2 linked regions of the Yarrowia lipolytica genome follow. The protein of the gene in region 1 purifies or fractionates together with the protein of each later gene. This does not show direct contact. Links are inferred from orthologs where the notes say so. Each region holds a gene or a part of one and is shown on either strand. Other genes may lie near its edges.

The links.
Region 2: the proteins of YALI1_C23926g (region 1) and YALI1_E11768g purify together in Saccharomyces cerevisiae (affinity purification with mass spectrometry; 5 studies listed by BioGRID, with this or other methods). This does not show direct contact. The link is inferred for Yarrowia lipolytica from reciprocal best matches to the Saccharomyces cerevisiae genes CPR6 and URA2.

What each region holds. Positions count from the first base shown.
Region 1 is NC_090772.1:2,390,992-2,394,212, reverse strand, and holds YALI1_C23926g (uncharacterized protein), read left to right. Parts: upstream 1-1,599; coding exon 1,600-2,703; downstream 2,704-3,221. Other genes in the region: YALI1_C23948g (uncharacterized protein), read left to right, coding at 1-768. UniProt on the Saccharomyces cerevisiae protein: PPIases accelerate the folding of proteins. It catalyzes the cis-trans isomerization of proline imidic peptide bonds in oligopeptides.
Region 2 is NC_090774.1:1,170,766-1,178,736, forward strand, and holds the start of YALI1_E11768g (uncharacterized protein), read right to left. Parts: upstream 6,030-7,971; coding exon 1-6,029. Other genes in the region: YALI1_E11770g (uncharacterized protein), read left to right, coding at 6,215-6,241, 6,285-6,518. UniProt on the Saccharomyces cerevisiae protein: Multifunctional protein that encodes the first 2 enzymatic activities of the de novo pyrimidine pathway: carbamoylphosphate synthetase (CPSase; EC 6.3.5.5) and aspartate transcarbamylase (ATCase; EC 2.1.3.2).

The sequences.
Region 1 (3,221 bases):
CCCGACGGAAAGTTCTACATTGTCAACGGTATCAAGAAGTGGATCACCAACGGTATCTGGGCTGACTACTTCACTGTTGCCGTCCGAACCGGTGGCCCCGGCTCTGGCATGAACGGTATCTCTGTTCTGCTGCTCGAGCGAGGCATGGAGGGTCTTGAGACCCGACGAATGAACACTCAGGGTATGCTGTCTTCCGGCTCTACCTGGGTCACCATGGAGGATGTCAAGGTCCCCGTGGAGAACCTGCTCGGCAAGGAGAACAAGGGTTTCAAGGTCATCATGACCAACTTCAACCACGAGCGAGTTGGTATCATCATCCAGGCAAACCGAGCTTCTCGAGTTTGCTACGAGGAGGCCTGCAAGTACGCCCACAAGCGAAAGACTTTCGGCAAGCCTCTGATTGAGCACCCCGTCATCCGAGCCAAGCTCGCCAACATGGCCATTCGAATCGAGTCCACCCACGCCTGGCTCGAGAACCTGGTCTTCCAGTGCCAGATGTTCCCCGAGGAGGAGGCCATGCTTCGACTTGGTGGTGCCATTGCTGGTTGCAAGGCCCAGGCCACCCAGACCCTCGAGCTGTGTGCCCGAGAGGCTTCCCAGATCTTTGGTGGTCTTTCCTACACCCGAGGCGGTCTCGGAGGTAAGGTTGAGCGACTGTACCGAGAGGTCCGAGCCTACGCCATCCCCGGTGGATCCGAGGAGATTATGCTGGATCTGGCCATGCGACAGGCCCTCAAGGTCCACAAGGCTGTTGGCGCCAAGCTTTAAGTTAGTATATAGTGAATGATTGACAATGATATCGCCAATGGCGCTGAGCAAGTAGAGTTTGTCAAAACTAATTTCCACCATTAGAAGTCATCTAAACCGTTTGACTTGTATTTTAAAATTAGTTGGATATAGTTACAATCAAAATCAGGCTGGGGGTCTCTTTTCGATGTTCCAGAGTCGGAATCGTTGAGAAAACAGTACCATTTTACCCTCAATTGATGCATTCTAAGCAACTTTTCAGTTATAATAGCAGTTTGTGTCCTGTGCTGAAGTTATCTCAGCTTTTCATCTCATCAGTTCCAAATTTAGTTAGTAGTTTTGTTGGGATCTTGTTAGCATGATTAGTTGCTCAACAATCGCCGGCCGTACAAGTACTTGTACTGGAGTGAGGAATTTTGTCTCTGTACAGTCATCTTGCCTTGTATAGCTCCATAAGTTACAATTAGCCGTCATCAACCCTTCTTCCAGCTTCTCATTCAGCCACTGAGACAGTTCGATCCTGATCCAATTTGACTTGCTGGGTTGGGCGCTGATCTTGACGCCTGCAGTGTGAAAAATGTAGCCCAGAGATAGGGAGCCGGAAAGACGGTGGAAATGAAAGGGAGGGGTAGAGACTGAAATGACACACAAGCAGTCGCAACCGGGCCTCCCAGAACCAACACAAAGAGCTGCTGACCCCGATTCTGGGGGAGATTCATTCTCGAACCTTCTACAGCTTACCTTCTGCACATGCGTCAAACCTCCCAAAGATGCATATATGGCCAAAGGTACGGGCGTGCCTAACGCCCCCACGAACACAACCCAACCCGTTACACATCACACACATACACAATGACCAACCCCCGAGTGTTTTTCGAGGTCGCAATTGGCGGCAAGACCATCGGCAAGATCTACTTTGAGCTGTTTGCCGACAAGGTGCCCAAGACCGCCGAGAACTTCCGAGCTCTGTGCACTGGCGAGAAGGGCAACACCCAGGCCGGAATCCCTCTGCATTTCAAGGGCTCGTCTTTCCACCGAGTCATCAAGGACTTTATGGTGCAGGGAGGAGACTTCACCGCTGGCAACGGTACCGGAGGAGAGTCCATCTACGGGGAGAAGTTCCCTGACGAGGCGTTCCCTTACCCCCATGATCAGCCCTTCTTGCTGTCAATGGCCAACGCCGGGCCCAACACCAACGGCTCGCAGTTCTTCATCACCACCACCGAAACCCCCCATCTCGACAACAAGCATGTGGTATTTGGCAAGTTGCTCAGCGGCAAGGGTATTGTGCGACAGATCGAGCGAACTGAGACAGGCGAGCAGGACCGACCCAAGCAGCCCGTCACCATTGTGGACTGCGGAGAGCTGCCCGCAGACTTCCAGGTGCCTGTTGGAAACGTCGACGACGGCACTGGAGACGACTACGAGGACTTCCTCAAGGATAACGACAATGTGGACGTGAACGACCCTGCCTCTGTGCTGGGAGCCATTGAGAAGCTCAAGTCGATCGGAACCAAGCTGTTCAAGGAGGGAAACGCCGAGGGAGCGCTCAAGAAGTACCTCAAGGCCACCACCTACCTGGAGGACTATCTTCCCGATGATTTGTCCGAGGAGAACATTGCCAAGGTGCATGCTCTGCGAATCTCGTGCTACCTCAACGTGGCTCTCATGGCTCTTAAGGTCAACCAGCCCAAGGTTGCCATCAAGGCCGCGACTTCTGCTCTTGATGACGAGACTGTGGCCAACAAGGAGAAGGCCAAGGCTTTGTTCCGACGGGGATCTGGATACGCCGCTCTCAAGAACGAGACCGACGCTCTCAAGGATCTGAATGCTGCTCTGGAGCTCGAGCCCGCTGATGGGGCCATCAAGAACAAGATTGAGGAGGTCAAACAGGCTGCGCAGAGACGACGGGAGGCGGAGAAGAAGAAGTATGCTGGTTTCTTTGGAGGCAAATAAGCAGAGCGATTGTTTGATTGGCTGGACAGTGCTTGGTGGTGTGATAGCACAAGGGTATATAGTAACGATGATGACATGGAAACTTGTTTGTACAGTACGTGCAATAAAAGTATTTGTTTGGTGATGTGGACTGTAGTACAATACAGGTACTCTCAACTAGCCTCAGTGGCTAGCAATGGCTTGAACAATTGATGATTCAGCATGAGACAAAAACTATTGTACAAGAAACTGATACATCAGTGGGTATCCACTACTTGTAATGCAAGCCATGCTGTTCAGAACTTGGACAAGTACGAGAACTACTACAAATATTGGCACTTGTACAAGTAGCACTTGTATCTCCTAGACTTCAGAGTCCCGTTTCCCAAGTCTGAACACCATGAGCATGCATAAGACGAATACTGATATGTTGGCTGTGGCCTACGCCGACAATATACCGATGATGTAACCGAGGCAAATGATGTGCAGTTATTCTGGACAAGTACAGTCACGATTCAGGTCTTTGGATACGATACTTG
Region 2 (7,971 bases), on another chromosome or scaffold:
TCGACGGATCCATTGCCACCGTTGATGACGGGGACAGGAGAGAATCGGCCGGCGATGTTGGCAGACTCGGGGTCGGGGTGTCGCAGAGCGATGGCGTCCGAGTAGCAAGCAACAGATCGGAGAGTGTCCTGCAGGGTCTCGCCCTTCTTGTAGGAGGAGGCGTCGACGTTGACGGCAATGACACGGCCTCCAAGTCGCTGCATGGCGGCATCAAAGGAAGTGGCGGTTCGGGTGGAAGGCTCGTAGAAGAGGGTGGTCAGCAGACGACCCTTGAGGATGTCCAGAACACCGACTCGCTTGACAGCCTGTCGCAGCTCGTTGGCCAGAGCAAAAATGTCGTGCAGGTTCTCCTTGGAGAACTGGTTGACAGAGAGAATGTGCTGACCAAGGAAGGGGTTTCGTCGCAGCTTGTTGAGAATGGAAGGAGCGGAAACCTCGGGGGGGATGGCACCGACAACAGACGACTCAACGTGGTTGTTAGCGAAGGGTCGAACGTCGGAGGAGAATGAGAATCGGGCCATTCGGGGGGTGGTGGGGGAGTGCACCATCTCCTGGGTGGCAGGAGCAGCCTCAACGGGAGCAGCCTGGGGGTGGATGGAGATGGCCTTGCCGGTGGAAGCACCGTTGAGGTCACCCTCAAGGACAACAGTCTGTCCGCCGACAATGACTCGCTCAACGGAGCCAGTGGCAGGCTTGCCGGCCATGGGAGACCACAGACCCTTGGACTTGAAAGTGTACTTTCGGCCGAGGTTGACGACAATGGAGGTGTCGGGCTGCTCCACCAGCTCGAAGATTCGAACGGGGTTGGTGTAGAGCCGAGCCTCAATGTCCTCGACGGTGAGACGCTTGTCAGCCACGGCAGAGAGCAGCAGAGGCAGGGTCTCGGCAACACCAAGACCAGCGACAACGGGCTGGCCGAGCTCCTTGGCCATCTGAGAAGGCAGAATGCCGACGGAGAAGCAGTCGATGGTGGCAAGGTTGGCCCACAGAGCATCCTGGTCCTCCTGGGTGGGCAGAGAGTGGGCCTCGGGGTAGTCCTCTCGGGCAAAGAAGAGGGCAAAGACGGACACGTCACAGGTGACAGCCAGACCTCGCTCCTTGGCCATGGCAACCAGCACAATGTCGTTCTTGTCAACAACGCCGGTCACGTGGATGGGCCGGTTGTGCAGGGAAGCCAGCAGCAGAATGGAGGCCAGGTCGGTGGTGGTGGCGTCAGTGACAATGGGCTTGTTGGCGGGCCAGGCGCCAAAGTGCTCCGAGATGGCAGCCACCTTGGTGGTGTTGTCGCCCAGCTTGCTGAAGGGCAGCACCAGAGAACCAACCTTGCCGGTCACCTTACCAACCTCGTTGGCATTGTGAGCAGTGGCAGCCACAGAAAGGTTATAGTCTGTGAAGGAGTGGCCCTCGGCGTTAGCCTGAGCAGTCTGAAGCGAAGCCAGATCGATGATGGACTCGGACACGCCCATGGGGAGCAGTCGAGAGAAGGTGAAGCCAGATCGCAGAGACACCTTGGTGAAGTCGGCAATGTCGGAAGAGCCAGCAATGGCAATGTCGGGAACCACACCGGCCACGTTGACCAGACCAGGAAGAGTCACAGTGTTGTGAGACGACTGGAAGTCGGTGGCGGACACGTCCAGAGTCATGTTTCGAGCCAGAGCCTCGGTCAGCAACTTGGCGTTCTTGACGTTGGTCACCAGAGGAACGGCGTAGTCAACAGCCAGACGTCGAGTTCGGTAACCCTTGGACATGTAGTTGGCGGGTCGTCGGAACCGGTTGGAAGAGGGCAGGTTGATGTATAGGTCGATCATGTTGTTGGCCAGGTGCTGAGTCAGCGAGTACTCAGACTTCTCCTCGTCAGCACCCTCGTTGAGGACATCGAGGTACTGGACGGGAACGCCGTGCTCCTGGATGAAGTCGGCTGTACCGGCAGTGGCAAACAGCTTGAAGCCGAGCTCGTGGAGTCGCTTGATGGAGGGCATCAGCTCAACCTTCTCCTTGTAAGAACCAACGGACAGAAGAATGTTCTTCTTGGGCAGCTTGAAGCCAGTGGCAAGCAGAGCCTTGAGGTAGGCTTCGTACTTGTTCTTGCCAAAGGTAGCAACCTCACCAGTGGAGGCCATCTCGACACCGAGGATGGGGTCAGCTCCAGACAGTCGAGAGAAGGAGAACTGGGGTACCTTCACGGCGACAAAGTCCTGGGGGAGCTCCTCCAGGGGGTAAGGAGAGACTGGGAAACCGCAGATAGCCTTGGTGGCCATCTCAATGAGATCAACACCGGTCACCTTGGACACGAAGGGGAAAGATCGAGAGGCTCGCACGTTGCACTCAATGACCTTGATTTCGTTGTCCTTGGCAATGAACTGAATGTTGAAGGGACCAGTCACCTGCAGAGCCTTACCAATCTTGGCGGTGGCCACGACAATACGTCGGACAGTCTCGGGATCGAGATCCTGGGGAGGCACAATCAGAGTGGCATCTCCAGAGTGCACACCAGCGTTCTCAACGTGCTCGGAAACAACGTGCATGATGAGCTTACCGTCCTTGGCAACAGCGTCCATCTCAATCTCCTTGGCGTTCTCAATGTACTTGGTGATGACGACAGGGTAGTCTCGAGACACTTCGACAGCCTGGTTGAGGTAAGAGGCCAGATCGTCTCGGGTGTAGACGGTGTTCATGGCGGCACCAGAAAGCACGTAAGAAGGTCGCACAAGCACAGGGTAAGAGACCTTCTCGGCAAAGGCCTCGGCCTCGTCGATGGAGGTCAACTCCTTCCAGGCAGGCTGGTCAACCTCAATGGTGTCCAGCATTCGGGAGAACTTGTATCTGTTCTCGGCAGAGTCGATCATCTCAGGAGAAGTACCGAGAATGTTGACGTTCTGTCGGTACAGCTGCAGAGCAATGTTGTTGGAGGTCTGACCACCCATGGAGATGACGACACCGGAGGATCGCTCCAGCTCGTAAATGTCGAGGATTCGCTCCATGTTGATGACCTCAAAGTAGAGTCGGTCGGCCTCGTCGTAGTCGGTAGACACAGTCTCGGGGTTGTAGTTGACCATGATGGTTTTGGCGCCCTGTTCTCGAAGAGTTCGGACGGCTCGAACAGCACACCAGTCAAACTCGACGGAAGAGCCGATTCGGTAGACACCAGAACCAAGGACCATGGTGCCGTGATCGTCAAAGGTCAGATCGTGGGAGTCAGCGTTGTAGGTCATGTAAAGGTAGTTGGTGAAGGCGGGGAACTCAGCAGCAACGGTATCAATCTGCTTGACGAAAGGGGTGACACCAGCCTCGACTCGCTTGAGACGCACAGCCAGCTCGTTGGAGCCGGTGTACTTGGCAATCTGTCGATCGTCGAAACCCAGCTGCTTGGCCTCTCGCATGATGTTGACAGGCAGGTTGGAGTTGTTGTACTTGGTCAGGCCCTTGGCGAACTTGACCAGACCGTCCAGCTTGTTAAGGAACCACTTGTCGATGTTGGTGAGCTCCCAGATCTTGTCCACGGTGTAACCAGAGTGCAGAGCGTTGGCAATTGCGAACAGTCGCTGATCAGAAGGAGTCTGCAGCTCGGAGTCAATGTCGATCGACATGAGAGCCTCGGTCTCGTTGAAACCCAGGTTCTGGTAGTCAGTGGACCGGATGGCCTTCTGGATGGCCTCCTCAAAGGTTCGACCGATAGACATGACCTCTCCGACGGACTTCATGGCGGAAGACAGCAGAGTAGACACACGGGTGAACTTCTTGAGATCCCATCGAGGAATCTTGACAACAACATAATCCAGAGAGGGCTCGAAACAGGCACAGGTGACCTGGGTGACGGAGTTTCGAATCTCGTTCAGGGGAATGTTGAGACCAAGCTTGGCAGCGATGAATGCCAGGGGGTAGCCGGTGGCCTTGGAAGCCAGGGCAGAAGATCGAGACAGACGGGCGTTGACCTCAATGATGCAATACTCCTTGCTGAAGGGGTTGAGGGCGTACTGGATGTTACACTCACCAACCACACCGAGATGTCGGATGACGTTGACAGCGGTGGTTCGCAGCATGTTGTAGTCCTCATCAGACAGGGTCTGAGAGGGGGCCACGACGATGGAGTCACCAGTGTGGATACCGAGAGGGTCGAAGTTCTCCATGTTACACACAGTGATACAGTTGTCAAAGGCATCTCGAACAACCTCGTACTCAATCTCCTTCCAGCCCTTCATGGATCGCTCGACCAGGATCTGAGGTGAGCCGGCAAACGCCTTGTTACACAGCTCGATCAGCTCGGCTTCGTTGTCGGCAAAACCGGAACCTAGACCACCAAGAGCGTAGGCAGCTCGAACGATAACAGGGTAGCCAATCTCCTCAACGACAGCAAGAGCCTCTTCCTTGGAAGAAGCAGTGGCCGACTTGGCGCACTTCTCGCCAATCTCCTCCATGGATCGGGCAAACAGCTCTCGGTCCTCGGTGGTGATGACGGTGTCGATGGGGGTACCGAGCACCTTGACACCGAGACCCTCAAACTCGTCCTTCATCTCGATACCAACGTTGAGAGCGGTCTGGCCACCAAAGGTGACGTAGATGGCGTCGGGGCGCTCGTACTTGATCACCTTTCGCACAAACTCGGGGGTCACAGGCAGGAAGTACACCTTGTCGGCCAGACCCTTGGAGGTTTGGATGGTGGCAATGTTGGGGTTGATAAGCACGGTGTAGATGCCCTCCTCCTTGAGAGCCTTGATGGCCTGAGAACCGGAGTAGTCGAACTCACCAGCCTGGCCAATGGAGAGACCTCCAGAGCCCAAAACAAGCACCTTCTTGACCTGCACTCGGGGGTGAGCGGCTCGGTTCTCCTCAATGGTGCCACCGGGGAACTCGATGGCCTTGAGAACACCAGAGGTCTTGTGCTCGACGACAGCCTTGATGAAAACGTCAAACAGGAACTCGGTGTCTCGGGGACCGGGGGTGGACTCGGGGTGGAACTGCACCGAGAAGAAGGGCAGGTCCTTGTGATAGATACCCTCGTTGGAGCCGTCGTTGGAGTTGACAAAAAGCTCCTCCCAGCCGCCAGTCAGAGACTTGGCGTCCACAGCGTAACCGTGGTTCTGCGAGGTGATGTAGCATCGACCAGACAGCAAGTTGGTGCAGGGAATGTTGTGTCCTCGGTTACCGAACTTCATCTTGAGAGTGGTGGCGCCGGTAGATCGAGAAAGCAGCTGGTGACCAAGACAGATACCAAAGATGGGGGTCTTCTTGGCCTCGACGGCCTTGGCGATTCGAGCGGCGGTTTCCTTGAGCACGGAGGGATCTCCGGGACCGTTGGAGAGGAAGAGACCGTCGTACTCCTCGTTGAGGAAGTCGTAGTTGTAAGGGACGACCAGAAGCTCGACGCCTCGGTTGACAAAGCATCGGATCTGGTTGTACTTCATACCAACGTCGACAGCCAGGATTCGAACAGGCTTGCCGTTGACGTGAATAGCTCGGTCAGCAGGAGGGGTGTAGAGCTTGGGCTCCTTGATGGAAACCTCGGCGACCAGGTTGAGCTTGTTAGGGTCGACCCACTCAGGGACCGCGTTGTCAATGCACAGTCGTCCGAGCATGGAACCCTCCTCTCGGATGTGCTTGGTCATTCGTCGGGTGTCGACGCCGTAGATGGCAGGAATGTCCTGCTCCTTGAGCCAGGCACCGAGAGAAGATTCGGCCAGGAAGTGCGAGTACTCCTCGGTGTACGAGGCAACAACAAGACCCGCCACATGGATCTTGTTGCTCTCAAAGTGCTTGGGGAGGCCCTTGACCACTTCGTCCACGGCCTCTCGAGAGGGGACACCGTAGTTGCCGACCAGGGGGAAGGTGACAATCAGAATCTGACCCTGGTAGGAGGGATCGGTGATGGACTCGGGATAGCCCACCATACCGGTTTGGAACACGAGCTCGCCCGCCACAGGCTTGTCGGCTCCGAAAGAGTAACCCTGAACGGCAGTGCCGTCTTGAAGCTCCAGGGTCATGAGCTTGTCCTCGGGGTTGAGGGGGGGGAAGATGGGAAGCGAGGGGGTCATTCTGGGTTAGTATGATCGAACGGAGTGTGATCGTGTGCTACGGTGACGTCTAGAGAGCACAGGAACTGACTGTATCTTCAACATCGATCGATCGCGGCGTCATGCAGAAGCCGTGGTTTTGGTGGATCGGGCAGAGTCGCAGCGTTTTTGTCGTCTCTCAAAAATACCAATACTAACTACTGAGGATGAGAATGGGTAGCAAAAGACATTCGGTGTGTTGAGGGTGTGTGTGTGGTGTAGTTGTAGAGTGTGAAGTGCAAGCTCAGACCATCAGTAGGGTTGCAGAGAAGCAGCAGCAGCACTACGCTACCAACAGCACCATTGACGTTACTCCAGCATCCCCACAACCACCACAGATCACATGTATCTGCAATGGTCGATGGCAGGACAGCAGCTCACCCGTCGGTCAGTAGCAGCAGCTCAGCTCTTCAGCAGCCGTTCAGCATTCAGCAGCCGTTCAGCACTTCAGTAGCTGCAACATGGCAGTAAACTGCATACGTGGGACTACAAGACTGACGACATGTAGGGCACTGCACATCTAAATAATGCACCCCACAGGACCCCAGCCATTACCACCACCCCACACACTGGGCCCCAGACTCAGACAAGCGTCCGTCCACGGTTGTTTCCTTCCATCCGTCTCAATCTCTCAATCGTCTTCACTCACTCACTTTTACTCCTTTGCTACACCTGCCGAATAGGACAAAAGATTTCGTGAGGAAGAGAGAGAGAGAGAGGAGAGGAGAGAGAAGGAGACACATGGGTGTTCCTCGCCTATATAAATATCGAGGCCAATGAAAAAATTTATAACCTCAAGGTTTGGGTGCATAAAGAGGACTTTGGGACCTTACCCTGGGGGGAGTTGGGGGTGGAAATAGTGTGATGAGGAGCCTGGAATTTTGACAGATGGTCTATAAGAGTGTCAATTATCTGTCATCTTTTTTTCCGCGCGATTCGGCCACTATTGGGTCCTCCAGATTCCTTTCGAATGTCGCCACTTCTCCACCTAACGAACCTTGTCAGAAGCCGAAGGCCGAACAGCACGGTTAAAAGCCCCATTTCCAGAGCAAAAAGCGACCGTTTCTGCCCGGAAATCGGACTCACGTGACCCATTCTGTACAATTGACGCCCAATCTCCTGGAAAAACGGCGTATATCCGCGAGAAATACCGACCTATTCTCGGTGGCAACTGTCGCTATACTGTCAGTCAGGGAAAAAAAGGCCGATTGAAATAAAAAGAACCTTAACGCTAAAAACAAAAAAAAATTGGAAACAGTCCGAGTCATAATTGGACCCTGAGAAAGACATGAGTGGGTGGGCAAGGGGTCTTAAAGGGCTCCTTGGGGGCCGATTTCGGAAACGAAAAATGCACGATCCCATTTCTTCGGGCTACATGACCACTTTTCGAGCGTCTTATCTCGTTTCCACCCTCCCCACAACCCACATTAGCCACCAGTAGCACCTCCCAACCTCGTCTCCATGGCACATTTCGAACCCAAATCAATTTTTTTTCCACACGATGCATGAACGAGGTACGCGGCTGGTGATTGAGATGGCAGCGGCGGAAAACGGTGCAAAAAAAAACCGTGTGTGTAAAAAGAAACGAGACGTTGAAAGGTGCAATTGATGAGGCGAACACCCACTTGGCTGTTTTGTCGGTCGTTACGGTAGTTGCGTGGACCATCCACGTCGTGATGTTGGTCTGGGTTGTCCATCATCGCCCATTACTCGGCCATCCAAGTGTCTTAACAAAATATGTGCAGTGACTGTGAAGGCGCTTCTTGTCTGAATGCGGTCACACGACGGATCGCATCGCACAGTTGCTGAAAAAGATAAGCTCAGGTGGGTCTCATGGAGAGTGTGGGGGTTTTGGGCCCAATAGTGGTCCGATTTTGGATCTGAAACGTGCATTTTGTTCGTCGCATCGATACCATCACAATGG